Callithrix jacchus: one gene and its partners. The main gene of each other region encodes a partner of the protein of the gene in region 5 in a complex. Links are inferred from orthologs where the notes say so. Each region holds a gene or a part of one and is shown on either strand. Other genes may lie near its edges.

What was found.
Region 1: the proteins of GABARAP (region 5) and TP53INP2 are in contact, whole or in part, in a crystal structure (PDB 8T31), measured with the Homo sapiens proteins. The link is inferred for Callithrix jacchus from reciprocal best matches to the Homo sapiens genes GABARAP and TP53INP2. Residues at the interface, in NP_009209.1 of Homo sapiens: Tyr5, Glu17, Ile21, Tyr25, Arg28, Pro30, Val31, Ile32, Lys46, Lys48, Tyr49, Leu50, Val51, Pro52, Asp54, Leu55, Gln59, Leu63, Arg67, Phe104; in NP_001316358.1 of Homo sapiens: Glu31, Val32, Asp33, Gly34, Trp35, Leu36, Ile37, Ile38, Asp39, Leu40, Pro41.
Region 2: the proteins of GABARAP (region 5) and CALR are in contact, whole or in part, in a crystal structure (PDB 3DOW), measured with the Homo sapiens proteins. The link is inferred for Callithrix jacchus from reciprocal best matches to the Homo sapiens genes GABARAP and CALR. Residues at the interface, in NP_009209.1 of Homo sapiens: Glu17, Ile21, Tyr25, Arg28, Pro30, Val31, Ile32, Lys48, Tyr49, Leu50, Val51, Pro52, Leu55, Phe60, Leu63, Ile64, Arg67, Phe104; in NP_004334.1 of Homo sapiens: Asp199, Trp200, Asp201, Phe202, Leu203, Pro204, Pro205.
Region 3: the proteins of GABARAP (region 5) and KBTBD6 are in contact, whole or in part, in a crystal structure (PDB 4XC2), measured with the Homo sapiens proteins. The link is inferred for Callithrix jacchus from reciprocal best matches to the Homo sapiens genes GABARAP and KBTBD6. Residues at the interface, in NP_009209.1 of Homo sapiens: Tyr5, Glu8, His9, Glu17, Ile21, Tyr25, Arg28, Pro30, Val31, Ile32, Leu44, Asp45, Lys46, Lys47, Lys48, Tyr49, Leu50, Val51, Pro52, Leu55, Leu63, Arg67, Phe104; in NP_690867.3 of Homo sapiens: Ser663, Asp664, Asp665, Asp666, Phe667, Trp668, Val669, Arg670, Val671, Ala672, Pro673.
Region 4: the proteins of GABARAP (region 5) and WDFY3 are in contact, whole or in part, in a crystal structure (PDB 3WIM), measured with the Homo sapiens proteins. The link is inferred for Callithrix jacchus from reciprocal best matches to the Homo sapiens genes GABARAP and WDFY3. Residues at the interface, in NP_009209.1 of Homo sapiens: Glu17, Ile21, Lys24, Tyr25, Arg28, Pro30, Lys46, Lys48, Tyr49, Leu50, Val51, Pro52, Asp54, Leu55, Leu63, Lys66, Arg67, Phe104; in NP_055806.2 of Homo sapiens: Glu3342, Lys3343, Asp3344, Gly3345, Phe3346, Ile3347, Phe3348, Val3349, Asn3350, Tyr3351, Ser3352.

The regions. Positions count from the first base shown.
Region 1 is NC_133506.1:4,600,023-4,603,531, reverse strand, and holds part of TP53INP2 (tumor protein p53-inducible nuclear protein 2), read left to right. Parts: intron 1-2,817; coding exon 2,818-3,067; 3' UTR 3,068-3,509. UniProt on the Homo sapiens protein: Dual regulator of transcription and autophagy. Positively regulates autophagy and is required for autophagosome formation and processing.
Region 2 is NC_133523.1:11,760,785-11,764,924, forward strand, and holds the start of CALR (calreticulin), read left to right. Parts: upstream 1-1,334; 5' UTR 1,335-1,405; coding exon 1,406-1,496; intron 1,497-1,856; coding exon 1,857-1,958; intron 1,959-2,144; coding exon 2,145-2,348; intron 2,349-2,806; coding exon 2,807-2,901; intron 2,902-2,999; coding exon 3,000-3,209; intron 3,210-3,294; coding exon 3,295-3,408; intron 3,409-3,504; coding exon 3,505-3,648; intron 3,649-4,140. UniProt on the Homo sapiens protein: Calcium-binding chaperone that promotes folding, oligomeric assembly and quality control in the endoplasmic reticulum (ER) via the calreticulin/calnexin cycle.
Region 3 is NC_133506.1:160,304,722-160,308,842, reverse strand, and holds the start of KBTBD6 (kelch repeat and BTB domain-containing protein 6), read left to right. Parts: upstream 1-1,321; 5' UTR 1,322-1,631; coding exon 1,632-3,671; 3' UTR 3,672-4,121. UniProt on the Homo sapiens protein: As part of the CUL3(KBTBD6/7) E3 ubiquitin ligase complex functions as a substrate adapter for the RAC1 guanine exchange factor (GEF) TIAM1, mediating its 'Lys-48' ubiquitination and proteasomal degradation.
Region 4 is NC_133504.1:112,702,935-112,706,775, forward strand, and holds the start of WDFY3 (WD repeat and FYVE domain-containing protein 3), read left to right. Parts: upstream 1-1,284; 5' UTR 1,285-1,288; intron 1,289-3,841. UniProt on the Homo sapiens protein: Required for selective macroautophagy (aggrephagy). Acts as an adapter protein by linking specific proteins destined for degradation to the core autophagic machinery members, such as the ATG5-ATG12-ATG16L E3-like ligase, SQSTM1 and LC3.
Region 5 is NC_133506.1:73,732,800-73,736,720, reverse strand, and holds GABARAP (gamma-aminobutyric acid receptor-associated protein), read left to right. Parts: upstream 1-1,380; 5' UTR 1,381-1,503; coding exon 1,504-1,593; intron 1,594-2,162; coding exon 2,163-2,241; intron 2,242-2,381; coding exon 2,382-2,500; intron 2,501-2,927; coding exon 2,928-2,993; 3' UTR 2,994-3,421; downstream 3,422-3,921. UniProt on the Homo sapiens protein: Ubiquitin-like modifier that plays a role in intracellular transport of GABA(A) receptors and its interaction with the cytoskeleton.

The DNA of each region.
Region 1 (3,509 bases), about 69 Mb from region 5:
GCAGGGGGACTTAGGGTGAGGGGCGGGTGGGAGAGAGAGGGTGGGAGAGGCTAGCAGGGGGACTTAGGGTGAGGGGCGGGTGGGAGAGAGGGTGGGAGAGGCTAGCAGGGGGACTTAGGGTGAGGGGCGGGTGGGAGAGAGGGTGGGAGAGGCTAGCAGGGGGACTTAGGGTGAGGGGCGGGTGGGAGAGGGTGGGAGAGGCTAGCAGGGGGACTTAGGGTGAGGGGTGGGTGAGAGAGGCGTGGGAGAGGGTGGGAGAGGCTAGCAGGGGGACTTAGGGTGAGGGGCGGGTGGGAGAGAGAGGGTGGGAGAGGCTAGCAGGGGGACTTAGGGTGAGGGGCGGGTGGGAGAGAGGGTGGGAGAGGCTAGCAGGGGGACTTAGGGTGAGGGGCGGGTGGGAGAGGGTGGGAGAGGCTAGCAGGGGGACTTAGGGTGAGGAGCGGGTGGGAGAGGCGTGGGAGAGGCTAGCAGGGGGACTTAGGGTGAGGGGCGGGTGGGAGAGGGTGGGAGAGGCTAGCAGGGGGACTTAGGGTGAGGGGCGGGTGGGAGAGGGTGGGAGAGGCTAGCAGGGGGACTTAGGGTGAGGGGCGGGTGGGAGAGAGAGGGTGGGAGAGGCTAGCAGGGGGACTTAGGGTGAGGGGCGGGTGGGAGAGAGAGGGTGGGAGAGGCTAGCAGGGGGACTTAGGGTGAGGGGCGGGTGGGAGAGGGTGGGAGAGGCTAGCAGGGGGACTTAGGGTGAGGGGCGGGTGGGAGAGGCGTGGGAGAGGGTGGGAGAGGCTAGCAGGGGGACTTAGGGTGAGGGGCGGGTGGGAGAGGGTGGGAGAGGCTAGCAGGGGGACTTAGGGTGAGGGGCGGGTGGGAGAGGCGTGGGAGAGGCTAGCAGGGGGACTTAGGGTGAGGGGCGGGTGGGAGAGGGTGGGAGAGGTTAGCAGGGGGACTTAGGGTGAGGGGCGGGTGGGAGAGGCGTGGGAGAGGGTGGGAGAGGCTAGCAGGGGGACTTAGGGTGAGGGGCGGGTGGGAGAGGGTGGGAGAGGCTAGCAGGGGGACTTAGGGTGAGGGGCGGGTGGGAGAGAGAGGGTGGGAGAGGCTAGCAGGGGGACTTAGGGTGAGGGGCGGGTGGGAGAGAGAGGGTGGGAGAGGCTAGCAGGGGGACTTAGGGTGAGGGGCGGGTGGGAGAGAGAGGGTGGGAGAGGCTAGCAGGGGGACTTAGGGTGAGGGGCGGGTGGGAGAGAGAGGGTGGGAGAGGCTAGCAGGGGGACTTAGGGTGAGGGGCGGGTGGGAGAGGGTGGGAGAGGCTAGCAGGGGGACTTAGGGTGAGGGGCGGGTGGGAGAGAGGGTGGGAGAGGCTAGCAGGGGGACTTAGGGTGAGGGGCGGGTGGGAGAGAGAGGGTGGGAGAGGCTAGCAGGGGGACTTAGGGTGAGGGGCGGGTGGGAGAGAGAGGGTGGGAGAGGCTAGCAGGGGGACTTAGGGTGAGGGGCGGGTGGGAGAGGGTGGGAGAGGCTAGCAGGGGGACTTAGGGTGAGGGGCGGGTGGGAGAGGGTGGGAGAGGCTAGCAGGGGGACTTAGGGTGAGGGGTGGGTGAGAGAGGCGTGGGAGAGGGTGGGAGAGGCTAGCAGGGGGACTTAGGGTGAGGGGCGGGTGGGAGAGAGAGGGTGGGAGAGGCTAGCAGGGGGACTTAGGGTGAGGGGCGGGTGGGAGAGAGGGTGGGAGAGGCTAGCAGGGGGACTTAGGGTGAGGGGCGGGTGGGAGAGGGTGGGAGAGGCTAGCAGGGGGACTTAGGGTGAGGAGCGGGTGGGAGAGGCGTGGGAGAGGCTAGCAGGGGGACTTAGGGTGAGGGGCGGGTGGGAGAGGGTGGGAGAGGCTAGCAGGGGGACTTAGGGTGAGGGGCGGGTGGGAGAGGGTGGGAGAGGCTAGCAGGGGGACTTAGGGTGAGGGGCGGGTGGGAGAGAGAGGGTGGGAGAGGCTAGCAGGGGGACTTAGGGTGAGGGGCGGGTGGGAGAGGGTGGGAGAGGCTAGCAGGGGGACTTAGGGTGAGGGGCGGGTGGGAGAGGGTGGGAGAGGCTAGCAGGGGGACTTAGGGTGAGGGGCGGGTGGGAGAGGCGTGGGAGAGGCTAGCAGGGGGACTTAGGGTGAGGGGCGGGTGGGAGAGGGTGGGAGAGGCTAGCAGGGGGACTTAGGGTGAGGGGCGGGTGGGAGAGGCGTGGGAGAGGGTGGGAGAGGCTAGCAGGGGGACTTAGGGTGAGGGGCGGGTGGGAGAGGGTGGGAGAGGCTAGCAGGGGGACTTAGGGTGAGGGGCGGGTGGGAGAGAGAGGGTGGGAGAGGCTAGCAGGGGGACTTAGGGTGAGGGGCGGGTGGGAGAGAGAGGGTGGGAGAGGCTAGCAGGGGGACTTAGGGTGAGGGGCGGGTGGGAGAGAGAGGGTGGGAGAGGCTAGCAGGGGGACTTAGGGTGAGGGCTGTCGTGTGGGAGATGCGTGGCCTCGTGGCCGGGGTGGGGCTTGGGAGGGAGGGGCGTGGCTAAGAGGCCACGGAAGGATTTGGAGGCTTGAGCGTGGCTAGAGTGCCGTGGGAGTTGTGCTTAAACAGAAAGGCAAGGGTGGAATTGAGGGTGGGAGTCTAGTCTTCCCCGAGGTCCAGTTTACCTGTCAGGGGCGAGAACCGAGGAGACATCTCCAGGGTGGTATCCACAAGAAGGGCGTCGGGGACCCCAATCTGAGCAGACACAGAATTGCAGCAAGGCAAGGGTGGGAGATGGCAGCTCCCCTTAGGCCTCCCGCCCGGCTTATCCGGCCTGACCCAGCCCCTCGCTGTGTCCACAGGGAGGTGGCGCCCGCCCACCGCGAGCCCCGGGCCGCGCGCCACGCTGCTCCTCTACCCGCGCGGGCGGCGCTGCTGGAGAAGGCGGGTCAGGTGCGGCGGCTGCAGCGGGCCCGGCAGCGGGCGGAGCGCCACGCGCTGAGCGCCAAGGCGGTGCAGCGGCAGAACCGAGCCCGCGAGAGCCGTCCGCGCCGGCCCAAGCACCAGGGCAGCTTCATCTACCAGCCGTGCCAGCGCCAGTTCAACTACTGAGCGTCTGCTGGTCACGCCACGAACCCCTTGCCGACTACCGATCCCTGTCGGGCCCCTCCGACGCCTCGGGCTGGACGCCGAAACCTCCCTTCTTAAAGCGTGTGAGGTTGGGTGATAGCCGTTCCTTCCCTGACCCCCTCAACTTCTCTGATCCTCTAATCCGCCTGAGCCCCTTTTCAAGCCCCCTTCATCCTCGCTCTTTCTGGCCCCCATCCCCAGCATCTAATCATCCACACCCCCTACTCCTCTCCCTTCCATCCTTTCTTCTCTGGCCCACATCCCTGTCTCTCCCCTTCACCCTTGCCCTCCAGTCCTCTACCTCTGGCCGGCTCCTATTTCTGAAAGCTTCTTCCAGTCCCTGATCTGGCTCATTCCCCACCTTCAACTCCCACCTTACATGACTCACACTATCCCATGTTTGGCATTACACTCACCCCTGTTC
Region 2 (4,140 bases), on a different chromosome or scaffold from region 5:
TTAACCAAAAACACTTGCCAGATTATTCCCCCCCTTCCAACTTTGTTTTCCCTTTTAAAGAATTTGTTCCTTCCTCCCTTTTCTGACTATCTTTAGCTAGGAAGCAACCCTCCCCGCCCTCTTTCCTGGATCCCCTTCATTCCCTCCTTCCACAGTCCACTCCCGGGTTCCCAGGTCCAGGGCTTATTTGCCTAGACTTTGGAAAACCCCCAGCTCTCCTTCCTCCTTTCTGCAGCGTGGGGGCAGGGTGCTGGTGTCAGTCACGTCTCTCTAGCTTCAGAAGAAGGCACTAGACTCAGTCGAGGTCGAGGTGGGGGGGGGGGTCCTGCCCATCTCCCTAGCACCTTATCGTCCCTACCGTCTGTCTTTTTTCCCTCCCCAAACGGAACCCCCGGCCCTCTCGCCTATAGACGTTTAATTGCAAAAGCCAGGCCGTTTGTGGGAGACCACAAGACATCGACCCCCTTCATTTACCGGTTGAGAAGAGAGTAAAGGGGCTGCTGCAACCTGGGTAATAACCCTGTCCCCACCCCAGGAGTCACATCCTTAAGCCTTCCTTCCCTCTTGTCCCAGGACAGCTTTCAAAACGTTAAAAGCCTTTCGGCTGGGTAGCATCTGACCAGGGAGGGTCGTCCCCTCTGGCTGCTCAGGGGCGTCTGTCACTTCAGAAAGGTTAAGTGACTTGCCCCAGGTCGCACAGCAGCAGTCCGATAGGCTGCCAGGGCACTAGGGGCAGAAGGAGGAGAGAGTTGGCATTTTTCCCATTGGCCCGCGTGGCTGTAGCACTGGGGTGCAGCGAAGCCCCAGGGCCACAACCCCTGAGCTCTGTTCAATCCCGGGCGGAGATGGGGGAGCGGCTGTAGGGTACTGGTTCCCGAATGGCTAGAAAAGCCTTGCCCAGCCCCTCCAGGTAGAGGGAATGAGAGGGAGAGAAGTTGGGACATGGTTCCGGTCCCGCGTGGAAACACCTGCGCTCGCGCCAGTGCTTTAAACGCCCAGATGAGGAAAGACGCACGCGGGCGAGGGCGGGGTTGGGTTTAGATCTGGTCACATGACCTGGCCTGAGGGGCTCGAGGCCCCCGCCCCACCAGAGGGCGTCCCCCACAACGCGTGGTCGACTCTCATTGGTCAGCGGTGAGGCCAATAGAAATCGGCCATCTGGGAACCCAGCGTTCCGAGGCGCAGCCTAACATGGTGAACCGATAAAGATCCAATGGAAAAAGACAATCGTGAGCGCAGACCAATGATAAAGTGTCAAGGGCGGGCCCAAGGGCTTGGTCAGGTTGGTTTGAGAGGCGGATGGGTATAAAGGTGCAAGGCGGGCGGCGGCGGCCGTCCGTACTGCAGAGCCGCTGCCCCAAAGTCGTTTTAAAGGGCCAGCGCGCCGCCGCCCCCTCGGCCCGCCATGCTGCTATCCGTGCCGCTGCTGCTCGGCCTCCTCGGCCTGGCTGCCGCCGAGCCCGCCATCTATTTCAAGGAGCAGTTTCTGGACGGAGGTAACGCCTGATTTCGCCTCGAGGCTGCCCCGCCGACGCGGCTGGCCCCCATCCCGGATCTGCGTTGTTGCCCGTAATTACTGCTTTGGGGACCAACATGGTGGCCTCCAGGGCCTAGAGCCGAGGGCTATTCCTCTTTTGCGTCCCTGGGGAGCGCAGAGGCGCAGCGGCCTCCCGCAGCGGGAGTTAGGGTTCGCCTGAGGATCTCTTAAGGCACCTGAGGTGTCAAACTAGAGGTTGGGGTGGGGAGAGTCGGGGATCTCCTTCCCTGTCCCCAGCAGTTTTTGATTCTCGGCAGATGTTTGGTGGTGGGGAATCGGCACAACCGCGTTGACCTCCCCCCTCTAACCTCCCACTTAGATGGGTGGACTTCCCGCTGGATCGAATCCAAACACAAGTCAGATTTTGGCAAATTTGCCCTCAGTTCCGGCAAGTTCTACGGTGACCAGGAGAAAGATAAAGGTAAGAGCCTAGGAGTGGGTGCTCTGATCCGGGAGGACTTCCTGGCAGAAGTCCTTGTCTGCACACAGCTGGGACAGTCCCCTAGGAGGAGAGCAGGTGGAGGAAAGGGGAGTCGTTTGTATTCTCTAGGTCTTGGGTCCTCGGGGGTCAGGGCCCAACGGTGACCTCACTGCTATTCCGTTTCAGGTTTGCAGACAAGCCAGGATGCACGCTTTTATGCTCTATCGGCCAGTTTTGAGCCCTTTAGCAACAAAGGGCAGACACTAGTGGTGCAGTTCACGGTGAAACATGAGCAGAACATCGACTGTGGGGGCGGCTATGTGAAGCTGTTTCCTAGTAGTTTGGACCAGACGGACATGCACGGAGACTCAGAATACAACATCATGTTCGGTGAGGGGCTGGTTCCTGGTGCTGATCTCTGTCCCATTAGTTGGAGGGAGACTCAGACCCCATTGAGTTCCTTACATCCCAGAAAAGTGATTTTTGAGAGGATGGAAAGCATTTACTAATCATGATTTTCTTTGGAAGGAGAGCTAAAAGAATAGGTCACAGTTAGCAACAATTTATTGCCTTATCCCAGATCTAGGCTGTTAATTTAATTTGTATGATTGTATATAGTTACTTCCCAATCTTACAAATGAGGATGTTGAGTTCTAGAACGCTCATTTTTTTTCTTTAAACTTGAGGCTCCAGCCACAGTTCATTCAGGACAGCATCAAGGTCTGAGTCCCTCTTTTTAGCCTTGACAGACCAAGTTTAAGAACCAGGTTTTCCTTTTGTAAAGAGGGGAGAGGGCCTTGAAATGGTGGGTAGTCTCTGACTCTTAACTGGATGTGTTTCCCACCTAGGTCCTGACATCTGTGGCCCTGGCACCAAGAAGGTTCATGTCATCTTCAACTACAAGGGCAAGAACGTGCTGATCAACAAGGACATCCGTTGCAAGGTGTGCCTGGGGGTGGTGGTGGCAAATGATGGCTGTCATGGGAAGTTCAGAGGTCGGTCTGATTGCGGGGGGCCCCACTCACCTCCTTCCTTCTTCAGGATGATGAGTTTACACACCTGTACACACTGATTGTGCGACCGGACAATACCTACGAGGTGAAGATCGACAACAGCCAGGTGGAGTCGGGGTCCTTGGAGGACGATTGGGACTTTCTGCCACCCAAGAAGATAAAGGATCCTGCTGCTTCAAAACCGGAAGACTGGGATGAGCGGGCCAAGATCGATGATCCCACAGACTCCAAGCCTGAGGTAGGTGTTTGGGGAGGGGCTCTGCTTTCCACACTGGAGCGTGTGTAGGACAGCTGGGCCAACTCTGACCTCTTCTACACCCCAGGACTGGGACAAGCCTGAGCATATTCCTGACCCTGATGCCAAGAAGCCTGAGGACTGGGATGAAGAGATGGATGGAGAGTGGGAACCCCCAGTGATTCAGAACCCTGAGTACAAGGTGAGTTTGGGGTTCTGAGCAGGGCTGGAGCTCACAGTGGGGAGTCCACCAACCTCACTCACCCTCTGGTTCTTTTCTCCCTTATGCCTTCTGCAGGGTGAGTGGAAGCCCCGACAGATCGACAACCCAGATTACAAGGGCACTTGGATCCACCCAGAAATTGACAATCCCGAGTATTCCCCTGATCCCAATATCTATGCCTATGATAACTTTGGTGTGCTGGGCCTGGACCTCTGGCAGGTGAGACTTGGAGGGAAAAGGAGGATCCCTGGGGTACCTCGAGAGCTTACCATCACCCAGGAGGAAAGGGACAGGGTAGGATCACACCCCAGGAAGGTCTGACTCAAGATGGTACTTCTCTAAACAGTACTTCCTGGTCTGTCCTTATGGAGTCCTCACAGCAGCCCCTTTGAGGTTGTACTTTTTGTGCACCAAGTACTTCCCCTAGTACTTTTATGCAAATCAACTTCTTTAAATACCCCTAAAAAGCTAGAAGGTGGTCAGGTAACACAGAAAGTTTGGGGCTGGGCGCAGTGGCTCACCCTTGTAATCACAGTACTTTAGGAGGCTGAGGAAGGAGGATTGCTTAAGGCTAGGAGTTTGACAACTCAACCTTGCTTGGCAACATAGTGAGGCAACCTCATCTCTACACAAATTTTAAAATTAGCCAGATGTGATGCATACCTGTTATCCCAACTATCTAGGAAGAAAGAGGATCACTTGAGCCTGAGG
Region 3 (4,121 bases), about 87 Mb from region 5:
AGGAAATGTGAGAGACTGTGTGACGGTGACACAGTCACAAGGTTGTCCTTCAGAGGGAATGGGAAGAAGAGAGGTTTGTTTTGACTATGGTGGGCAGTGATGTGAGAGGAAGACAGTGGCAGGGTTTCACAGGAAGTGGGTCGGAAGTGGAAACGTGTTTGGTGTTCTCAGTGACTTTTAACATCTGAACTGCATGGGGTGTGTAAAGGTTGAGGGAATGACTCAAAATGAAGCCCGCTCTGATGGAACAGCAACTTCATACAAGCAAGGGGAGAAATGCTTGCACCACTGGGTCTCAAAGGATGCTAAGTTACTCACCAGGCCTCTGGCTTCCATTGTATTTTAGAGTGAGGACTCTCTAAAATATGTCTTTTCTTTTGGGTAAAAAGGGGAAAGGGGAAACTGAATATTGGAGAGTGGGAGAAGACGCTGGAGAGGACTTCAGGTTTTGAAATGCAGATATGGAAGGAAAGTCTCAAAGTCAGGTGATTGGAGGTGATTTCCTTTTAGTCATGGCAAGTAAGGACAGGCAATGGTGGAAAAGCCAGGGATCTAATTCAGCAGCAACAGCCAACCAATCCTACAAACTGAGTTATCTTTTGGTATCAGGGAGAGGCACAGCATGTACAAAAAAAAAAAAAATCACTTCTAACGGATGCATACACTAATACAAAATGTTAATAATAAGGGAATTGCGAAGGGGGAAGAGATATAGGAAGCTCCCGGTCCCTTCTGCTCAATTTTTCTGTAAACGTAAGATTCAAACCTACTAATTAAAACACACACACACACCCCTAAAAGGGATTCTCTGCTGCAAGGTTTTCTGATTTTGGGGGTTGTTTTTTGTTTTCCTACAGGCTCATAATTTCAAATTAGTGGTGCTTCATTTTTTTTTAAATAAATGCTGGAAGAAAAGTTAAAACTTATAGAACCTTTACAACCTAAGAAGCGAATAATTATTCTACAAACCAACAAATATTAAGAGCGTCCTATAACCAACTCATTTAATCTTCACACAATCCTATGAAATACTCCTGTTCACATTTCACAAAAGAAGAAGAAACAGTTCAGAGACAAGTCAAACAATATATACTAGAACGAGGCGACTACTTTGGATACCAAAACCACATTTCCGAACCACAAAATCCAACCTAGGAAAATTGGCGCTCTCGAGTGTCGTCATTAAAATAAGGAACACAGAGAAGGATCGCGATATTACACGAACTACTACTCCCAACATGCAAAGCGGTCTCTTTCAGTCTCGGCCCGGGGGTCCGAGAGCCCCAGTAGCCCTTGGGGCGCAAAAGGCATCGTGGGAGCTGTAGTTCTCCTGGGCGCCTAGTGTTGTCGCCCACGCGGTGGCAGCGGCGTCTGAGGCTCCCAGCCAGCGGGTCCTGTGAACGCGAGCAGAGGCGGAGAAGGGACGCGGGTGTGAGAGCGGGTGAGTCAGCCACTGTCTAAACGATAAAGGGAGGCGGCTCCTTGGGGTTGGGCTGAATTCAGTAAATGGGCTCGTGCTCCGGCTTCTTCGGACACGCTGCTGCCTTAGCGTCAGCGAGGGAAGGGTGAGGAGGAGCCAGAGCCGGGTCCTGCAGCCGTTCTCGCCTTCAGCGCCCGTCGCCATCTCCATCATGCAGTCCCGGGAGGACGCCCCGCGCTCTCGCCGCCTCGCCAGTCCCCGCGGTGGGAAGCGGCCCAAGAAGATTCACATACCCACAGTTTCGGCCTTTTTCACGGGCCCAGAGGAATTAAAGGACACGGCCCATTCTGCAGCCCTCCTGGCCCAGCTCAAGTCCTTCTACGACGCGCGGCTGCTGTGCGATGTGACCATCGAGGTGGTAACGCCCGGCAGCGGGCCCGGCACGGGTCGCCTGTTCCCCTGCAACCGCAACGTGCTGGCAGCTGCGTGTCCCTACTTCAAGAGCATGTTCACAGGTGGCATGTACGAGAGCCAGCAGGCCAGCGTGACCATGCACGACGTGGACGCCGAGTCCTTCGAGGTGCTGGTGGACTATTGCTACACGGGTCGTGTGTCGCTCAGTGAGGCCAACGTGGAGCGCCTGTACGCGGCCTCGGACATGCTGCAGCTGGAGTACGTGCGGGAAGCCTGTGCCTCCTTCTTAGCCCGACGCCTGGAGCTCACCAACTGCACCGCCATCCTCAAGTTTGCAGACGCCTTTGACCATCGCAAGCTGCGATCTCAGGCCCAGTCCTATATAGCTCACAACTTCAAGCAGCTCAGCCACATGGGTTCGATTCGGGAGGAGACTCTAGCAGATCTGACCCTGGCCCAGCTGCTGGCTGTTCTGCGCCTGGATAGTCTGGACGTGGAGAGTGAGCGGACAGTGTGCCACGTAGCAGTGCAGTGGCTGGAGGCTGCTCCCAAAGAGCGGGGTCCCAGTGCTGCAGAAGTCTTCAAGTGCGTGCGCTGGACGCACTTCACTGAGGAAGATCAGGACTACTTAGAAGGGCTGCTGAGCAAGCCCTTAGTGAAGAAGTACTGCCTGGGCGTTGTTGAAGGGGCCCTGCAGATGCGCTATGGCGACCTGCTGTACAAGTCTCTGGTGCCAGTGCCAAACAGCAGCAGCAGCGGCGGCAGCAGCAGCAGCAGCAGCAGCAACTCTGTTGTACCTGCAGCAGAAAATCCACCTCAGAGGCTGGGTATGTGTGCCAAGGAGATGCTGATCTTCTTTGGACACCCCAGAGATCCCTTTCTTTGCTGTGATCCGTACTCTGGGGACCTTTACAAAGTGCCCTCACCTTTGACCTGTCTTGCTCACACTAGGACTGTCACTACCTTAGCTGTCTGTATCTCTCCAGAGCACGACATCTACCTAGCTGCCCAGCCCAGGACAGACCTCTGGGTGTATAAACCAGGTCAGAATAGTTGGCACCAACTTGCAGATCGCATGCTGTGTCGTGAGGGCATGGATGTGGCATACCTCAATGGCTACATTTACATTTTGGGGGGGCGAGACCCTATTACTGGAGTTAAATTGAAGGAAGTAGAATGCTACAATGTTAAGAGAAACCAGTGGGCGTTGGTGGCTCCACTGCCCCATTCTTTTTTATCCTTTGACCTGTTGGTAATTCGGGACTATCTCTATGCTCTCAACAGTAAGCGCATGTTCTGTTATGATCCTAGCCACAACATGTGGCTGAAGTGCGTTTCTCTGAAGCGCAATGACTTTCAGGAAGCGTGTGTCTTCAATGAGGAGATCTATTGTATCTGTGACATCCCAGTCATGAAGGTCTACAACCCAGTTAGGGCAGAATGGAGGCAAATGAATAATATTCCCTTGGTGTCAGAGACCAATAACTACCGGATTATCAAGCATGGCCAAAAATTGTTGCTCGTCACCTCTCGCACCCCACAGTGGAAAAAGAACCGGGTGACTGTGTATGAATATGATATTAGGGGAGACCAATGGATTAATATAGGTACCACATTAGGCCTCTTGCAGTTTGATTCCAACTTTTTTTGCCTCTCTGCTCGTGTTTATCCTTCCTGCCTTGAACCTGGTCAGAGTTTCCTCACTGAAGAAGAAGAAATACCAAGTGAATCTAGCACTGAATGGGACTTAGGTGGATTCAGTGAGCCAGAGTCTGAGTCAGGAAGTTCAAGTTCTATTTCTGATGATGATTTTTGGGTGCGTGTGGCACCTCAGTGAAATGCACAGGATCAGCAGGGTTTGTTGTAACTGAATTCAAACACTAAGTTGTTTTTGCTGTTTTGGAATATATCTTAAATATCCTTTTTGTTCCCAAAGGGGAGGAAAAGTTGATTAACTGGTTTGGTTTAGAAAAAGTAATGTTTGAAATATGAAGGTAATTTAATATTACAAATTTTAACACTCAAAGCAACCTTTTAATAATTTTTTGTGCTAAGAATCCAGTATTTATTTATTTAGTATGTTTATGTTTCATAAAACTAATTTAGTCTTTTGATAAATTTTACATTTTGTTTATTGCCACAAGCACCGTGGCAGTAACTTTTTAATTTTAATTTTTATAACAGAAAAAGGATTAGGAATTGCTAGGCAGTGTTTTGAAAGCATATCTTTTTCTTCAGAACAATGTAGATTTCCAAAATGGTTAACCTAAGGGGTCTTTATAAAATA
Region 4 (3,841 bases), on a different chromosome or scaffold from region 5:
GCCAGAACTGAAGCGTGACCCAAATTGTCTACTGTGTTGTATAGGAACAAACTAGCAAACTGCTGATCACTAAGCAGTTCTAGGTTTACTAAAGGATACTTATTTGGTCTAAATACTGTTTGTTGGGACTGCAAAGGTATAAATTATGCCCCTTCCAGGAAGGAAAGCGAAAACCTAAAATCTTATGGAACCGATTGAAGGTCACTGACAGAAGGCACCTCTGGAGACCTAGCTCCTCAACTCCGGTCCCATCATGGACCAGAGCCACACAGGTGACTGTGCAGGAGTTTCGAGGCTGCGTAGTAAAATAGCTGGCGTGGGCAGTTCTTTTATACTCCAGCTAGAGTAAAACTAACGCAGCTTTGCGTTTCTCCATCGCCTTTGACAGCATCCAGCAAAAGGGTGTAGGGATAAGGATAGCTGAAGAACCCAGTTGTCCTTTCTCAGCTGAGTCCTTTGAGAAACTGGGACTGAGGAGGGTGAGCAGCGCGGAGAGGGGCAGGGGTGGGGGGTGGGAGAGGGGAGCAGGGCGCGGGGCGGTGAAGGGGCGCGTCTGAAAGGCAGTGGGGAGAGGGACTGAGGGGAGCGGGGCTGAAGTCCAGCTGGGAGCATCCAGAGGCGCTGCCTGAAGACGAGGGCGAAGGCAGCCGCTGAGAGTGAGGGGAAAGCGGGAAGCCGAGGGAAGGGAAGGAAGTAAGGAAAGAGGAAGGAAAGGCAGGAGGGGTGGGGGGGGAGAGGCAGAGCGGCTGCAATTTCTGCGGCCGGCTCAGTAGGAGGAGCAGGAGGGGAAAGAGGAGGATCCAGAGTCAGTCAGTCAGGCAGCCAGCGGGAGGTGGAGAAAGCAGGAGGAGGAGGAGGATTAAAGATGGCCACCAACAGCTGCGGGAAACGGCAACAACCCCTCACTTCCCGGGATGGTCCCTGCGGGTCGGCCCGGCCTTGATGGAGAGAAGAAGCCCGAAGAGCGCCGAGGCTGAGGCGGCGGCGGCGGCGGCGGCGGGGACCCAACGAGGACGAGGACGCTGCGGAGCAAGGACGGGGGCAGGAGAAGGGAAAGGCGGCGGCTTCGCTGCCCCAGCCGCCTAGCACCGCTGCCTGGCCCGGCGGACCGGTTCCCGCACCTCGCGGTCGCAGAATCGAACCGGGCCCCGGCCCCCGGCCCGCGCCGCGGGGCTCCCGGGCCCCACCGTGGACGCCACGCCGGTCGCCTCTTTCCCGTAAACCGCGCGTCCTCGGCGCGGTCCGGGATCCCGGGCCCGGCCCGCCCGCGCCCTCCGCCGGCCCTCAGGTGAGTGCCCCCGCCATCCTCCCCGCCCCCGGTGCTCCGGGAGAGGCGGCGCTGCCTCGGGCCGGCGCGCCTGATCGCTTTGTTCGTGCGGGGCGGAGGCGCTGCCCACTGGCGGCCCTGTACCCGCTCCCCCTAGGGACAGGCCGCGGCCCAGCTGCTGTCCTCCCTAGGGTCCGCCTTGGCCTGGAGCCGCCGCGGCCGCCAGGGTTGGCGGCCTGGCCCGAGTCCTCCGCTGCGGCCTGGGGAGGGCGCCGTCGCGGTCGGGTCGGGGTCGGGGTCGGGGTCACGGACGGCAGGCGGAGGGGAGCGGAACCGGGCTATTTTGGGAGATGGGGGAGGAGTAGGCTGGACATTACCTCTAGGAAGCAGTGGGGGCGTAACTTGGCGGCCCTGGCGCCCAGGGGTAGGGGATCAGGCACTGTCCCCCAAGCCCGTTGCATCCCGCGGGGTCTCGGCTCCTGGAGCCCTCCGCACCTGGGCGCAGCGGAGCGGCCTCCATCCCTCCGGCGCTGTCTCCAGGGCTGCGGGCCTCTCCCACTACGCCCTATGCTGGAAGCCGTTAGATTATGGAAGGAACCAGAGATGCACCAGTTCTCTTGTGCTGGGGATGTGGTGAATCGCAAACATTCACAGTTACGGCGGGATTTATAAAGCAGATGTGACCTTTCTGACCAAAGGCCTTCTGGCTAGTGTTTGAGCCTCAGGTGCAGCGTTTCATTGATTTTTACCATATAATTCTGAGATCTGCAGTATCAGGTCTTTCTTTCACAGAAATAATGTGATAAAACCAGATTGAAAGGGTGTTTACTGTATATGTGAACCCTTGCATGGACTTCCAGTACCTTAAAATTGGTTGTTTTCTGTGGGAAAATGGTGCTCATGCATACGAAAAACTATTTTTGTTCAGTAATGGTTGCCAACCGGTTTACTATGTAGTTTAAAAACCAAACAATTAAAAAGGAAAAACAAAACCCTATTCTTTGGGCTTTTTGAAATAGTGGCATATTTCCAGGTTGGTATTTGGTGGCAGGTTGGGAACAATTAGTTTTCACTGTTAGGCGACATAACAAACATGACATAAAACAGAACCAAGGACACGCTAATTTATAGAAAACCAGATGTTGTATTAGTGCATAAGTCTGGTGAAAAATAAATCCCACTTTAAAAAAGAAAAATAAAACTTTTATCATGAGACTCTTAAATATAGGAATTAGATAGATGTGTTTTTATGTTTAAAAATATATATTACAGACTGGGCATGGTGGCTGAAGCCTATAATCCTAGCACTTTGGGAGTCCGAGGCGGGTGGATCACGAGGTGCAGAAATCGAGACCGTTCTGGTCAACAAGGTGAAATCCCGTCTCTACTAAAAATACAAAAATTAGCTGGGCATGGTGGCGCCCGCCTGTAGTCCTAGCTACTCGGGAGGCTGAGGCAGGAGAATTGCTTGAACCCAGGAGGCGGAGGCTGTGTTGAGCCATGATCGTGCCATTGCACTCCAGCCTGGGTAACAAGAGCGAAACTCTGTCTCAAAAAAAAAAAAGGTATATATATATGTATGTGCGTGTGTGTGTGTGTGTGTGTGTGTGTATTACATTAGAATTGAGAACTCTTCCTATGATATTTGAGCATTAGTGGAGTATGTTAACACTTTGAACCATTGTGTCTCAAGCTGCTAGAAAGATAGGTTTCTACTACCAGTTTATTTCCATAAGTTAAAATGAGTTCATCTGAATTATGTGCATGCTTTTGGTTGGGCACAGTGGGTCATGCCTGTCATCCAAGCACTTTGGGAGGCTAAGGCCGGAGGACCACTTGAGGCCAAGATTTAGAGACCAGCCTGGGCAACATACAGCACCCTGACTCTACCAAAAAAAATTTTTTTAAAGAAAAAAATAGTTGTAACTTAAAATTTATATCACCTCCAAAAAGTATGAATAAATTAGAAAACACAATGTCCTACTCTTGCAAAATCTGTTTTTAAAAAATAAATGACAATATAATATTTCAGTATTAGTTGGATTCTCTACTTTGAAGAGATTCTTAAATTTCACTGCTCAATTTTGCAATTTTAAAAGTTCACATCAGGTGTTCTTAATCCCCCCCACCCCCCCTCAATCTCTCTCTTTCTTTCTCTCTTTTTTTCTTTCCAACACAGAGTCGTGCCCTGTTGCCCAGGCTAGGGTGTAGTGGCATGATTACGGTTCACTGCAGCCTTGAACTTCTGGGCCCAAGTGATCCTTCCTCCACAGCCTCCCAAGTAGTTACGACTACATGTGCATGCTACCATGCCTGTCTAATTTTTGTAGAGATGAGGGTCTCCCTGTGTTGCCCAGGCTGAACTTGAACTCCTGGCCTCAAGCAATTATTCTGCCTTAGATGCCCTGAGTGCTGGAATTACAGGTGTGAGCTATCATGCCCTGCTTCTTTCTCAATTTCATGCATATGCTTCTGAGGGTCCTTGGCTCCCCAGAAATCATAAGCACAATATAGCGTATATTTGCATTTTTTCTAGATAAAGGGTCTGTGTGGTGATCACATTCTCAAAAGGAT
Region 5 (3,921 bases):
CCAGAGTGACAGACATACGGTGATCCAGGAGACTCAAAGAGAAGCCAAGTCAGCTTTGTTGTGATTTGATTTTTTTTAAACTCTTGTACAAAACTGATCTAATTCTTCACTCCTGCTCCAAGGGCTGGGCTGTGGGTGGGATACGGGGATTTTGGGCCACTGGTTTTTCCCTCAATTTGTCCCCCCTTTACTCTCGTATTTTTCTCTCCTTAGACTCCCTCAGACCTGTAACCAGCTTTGTCTTTTTTCCTTTCCTCTCTTTTAAACCATGCATTATAACTTTGAAACCAAAGCGGCCCTTAGGTCCTTCTCTGGGGTTTTGGGAAGTGAGGGGAGGGCACTTTATTCACATGCACCCTGTCTCCAGAGCAGTGGGCGAAGAGCCTACTGCTGGACTCGAGGGCACGGGGAAAGGTGCTGTTGAGCATGAGGATACAATAGTGAATGTGGACACCAGATGCTTTGGCGGGAAGGGCCGAGTGACAGGATGGGCGCACTGGTGTGGAGTGGAAGGATACCTTTGGAGCAGTAGGCTATTGAAGGCCGAAAGGAGAAACCTGGGCGGCCAAAGGGCGTAGAGCTAGAGAAACGTCGGGCTTCGATGGGAGCACTGATATGGACAGACTACGCGGGCGCTGCCCCCTAGGGCCGCCTCGACCTCCGCTCTCGGAAGAGGGGCCCCTCCCCGACGTTGCTCAGCTGGCCCCGCCCCCCCAGCCGGCCCTACTTTCCGCCCCCCCAGCCGGCCCTACTTTCCGCACCCGCCACGTGACGCTCCGCCCTCTCTGAGATCACATGATTTCACTCAAACTGCGATGTTCCTCCGCGCTGGCGTAGTCCTTACCTCTTGGACCTCCTCTCCAGTCCCTATTGGTCTACTCATTCCTGGTACTTAAGCGTTCTGTACATCTCTCCAAACATCCGTTTTCTTTTTGAACTCTTATTTGTGGAGATCATCTCTGTCCCTTGGGTACTACTTTGTTTTGGTGTCAACGGCCGCCTTCAGCGTAGCAACGCGTTTTGTGAATAGCCGACCTTGTAATTGTCTCTGCTGTTCCTCTACGTTATTTCCGAAAGGAACTTGGGAAACCAAGTCTCATGGTTATTACCATCTCATACTCCTCTTGAGCCCCAGCTTCCTTGAGGGGGAGGTTGGGGAATAGGTTTAGAGGTATTTTCAATGAGTGAAAACCAACCGTCTTTGCTACGTCTTCTGCGTATCCCACACATTAATTCCAAAGCGATTACGCTAATGGCGTGAGGGGGAGGGTCAGTGGGTGTTGCTACGCTAGCAGCGTTAGTGCCGATGAGGTAGTGGCGTATCTTAACGGGGGGGCCGTCCTGTTAGTCGGGGGCGGGGTTGGTGAATAGGGAAGTGGCGCAAATTCGTGGATCGCTCCGCTGATTCCGCCCGCCCGTCGCCACTGTTGCCGCCGTCCCCCGTCCGGCCCCCCCCTCCCGGGTTCCCTCAGCCCAGCCCGGTCCAGCCCGGTTCTCGGGAGGATGAAGTTCGTGTACAAAGAAGAGCATCCATTCGAGAAGCGCCGCTCTGAGGGCGAGAAGATCCGAAAGAAATACCCGGACCGGGTGCCGGTGAGGACAGTAGCCTGGGCGGAGGGCGCGGGACGCTTACGCTGACGCCACAGCCTGGCCTTGGATTTGGGACGGGCAGCGGGAGGATCAGGCTGCTGGCTATGGCGGGATTGGAAGCGACCCTGAAACTGCTGTCCCTGGGACCGAGGATGAAAGGGGTGGGGTAGTGGTGGACCTGGAGTAGAGAGGGATGTAGACAGGAGAGAGAAACCTTGGCATTTGTGAGTGGAGGCCTTAAGAGAGTTTGACAGCCTGAGCTTCAAGTGGTCATCCCCCCAGCTAGTTGAGGTTGTGAGATTGAAGCACTAGTCGGCCCAGACAAGTCATCTCCATCTGATTAAGATAGTTGTTTATGGTGACGCCCTATTCGGGGGATGGATCCTGGCTATTTAAATGAACTCCAGTCAGTAAGGTCAGGATCTCTGGGACTCAGGGCTGCACCGCGTGTGCAAAGACAGATGAGTCTGGGGTAGATTTAGGTGCAAGGGTTATTGTTACTTGAGTTCTTGACAGGTGCAGCTGCGGGGCTGCATTCCTCTGCCTCCTCATTTTCATCCTCTCTTTATCAGGTGATAGTAGAAAAGGCTCCCAAAGCTCGGATAGGAGACCTGGACAAAAAGAAATACCTGGTGCCTTCTGATCTCACAGGTGGGAACCTGACCCAAGACCCAGGCTTGCTTCCTGTGGGTGGGAGTGCAGTCTCTGCAGGAGGAGGCTCCACCTAGCAGCTGTTCTTTTGAGGGCATTTTTGACCTCTCTGACTTTCTCACACCTTGTATCTTTTGCAGTTGGTCAGTTCTACTTCTTGATCCGGAAGCGAATTCATCTCCGAGCTGAGGATGCCTTGTTTTTCTTTGTCAACAATGTCATTCCACCCACCAGTGCCACAATGGGTCAACTTTACCAGGTACGGTGACTTGGAAGTGGTGGAGGCTTTGGAGAAGCCTCTGGAAGAGCGTGAGCGGAAGAAAGTGTTGTTACATCAGTAGTTTTGCACTAGCTTCCTGACTTGCCTTAAAATTTCATGATAGCAGTGGGTTGGGGGTTTGAACAGAACAGTAGGAGTAGAGAGACGCAAAGAGAACAGTGAGCTAGAGGAACTTTCTGATCAGGACTCTTCCCAGTCCTCCTCCCCTTTCCAGAGCAGCAGACAACCGTTTAAGGTCTTTTTGCCCAGGACTGCAGAGATTATACTGCTTATGCTAGTCCTTGGAGTCAGTGAAGGAGTCGGGCACTGGTTTGTGGTTCTAGAAGACCATAAACTGGTTTGGGTGGTGGTTGGTTGAAGTAAGTTAGGAGCCCAGTTGCTGAACAGTTTTCTGCTTTCATCTCAGGAACACCATGAAGAAGACTTCTTTCTGTACATTGCCTATAGTGACGAAAGTGTCTACGGTCTGTGAAGCTGCTGCCCTTGAGCTGGAGGGGGCTCTCATTCTACAAAGAGAGAGGTGGCCCCCCTTTCTTGACTTCTTCCTCCTTCAAGCTCAAATACCACCTCCCTTATTCAGGACCGGCACTTCTTAATGTTTGAGGCTCTCTCTCCAGCCTCTCTTAGGAGGGGTAATGGTGGAGTTGGCATCTTGTACCTCTCCCTTCTCCTTTTTTCCCCTTTCTCTGCCGGCCTTTCCCATTCTGCTTTAGACTCTTGATTGTCAGTCTCTGTCACATCTAGTGATTGTTTTGGTTTCTGTTCCCTTTCTGACTGCCCAAGGGGCTCAAAACCCCAGCAATCCCTTCCTTTCACTACCTTCTTTTTTGGGGGTAGTTGGAAGGGACTGAAATTGTCGGGGGAAGGTAAGAGGCACATCAATAAAGAAGAAACCACCAAGCTGAGCTGAATTTTGCCTTGTGTTGCTCCCCTCCTCCCGCTGTTTTTTAGTCTTTCCAAGGCGTCAGTGGGTTTCAGTGGTGGGGAAAGAAGAGTAATGGGTACAAGCTGGAGGGATAGAAGTATATTTTGATTTATTCTGTTCATGTTGAGCTTTTCCCGGTCTGCAAAGAGAGGGTGATTTTGTTGTAATGGAATGGAATACTGAGTATCATTTCATAAAACTTTAGTTTTATGACACATATGTGAAACTAAATGTTAAATATGCTTATGTAAAAAATACTGTTCGAAAGTACCTGCTTTAGGTGGACATTTATTAGAACATTTTAATTAAGATATTTTCATGTGTAGGAGCTGGTAAAACGGCTGTTCTCAGTTGTATGTCACTTGGCTAGAGTTTTGCCGGCGAGTGGGATCCGGAGGAGTGGAATCAGGGAGGGAGAAGACTGGGAGGAGGGAGCCATTATCGCCAGGAGTACTTCATCTCCCAGTGATCATTT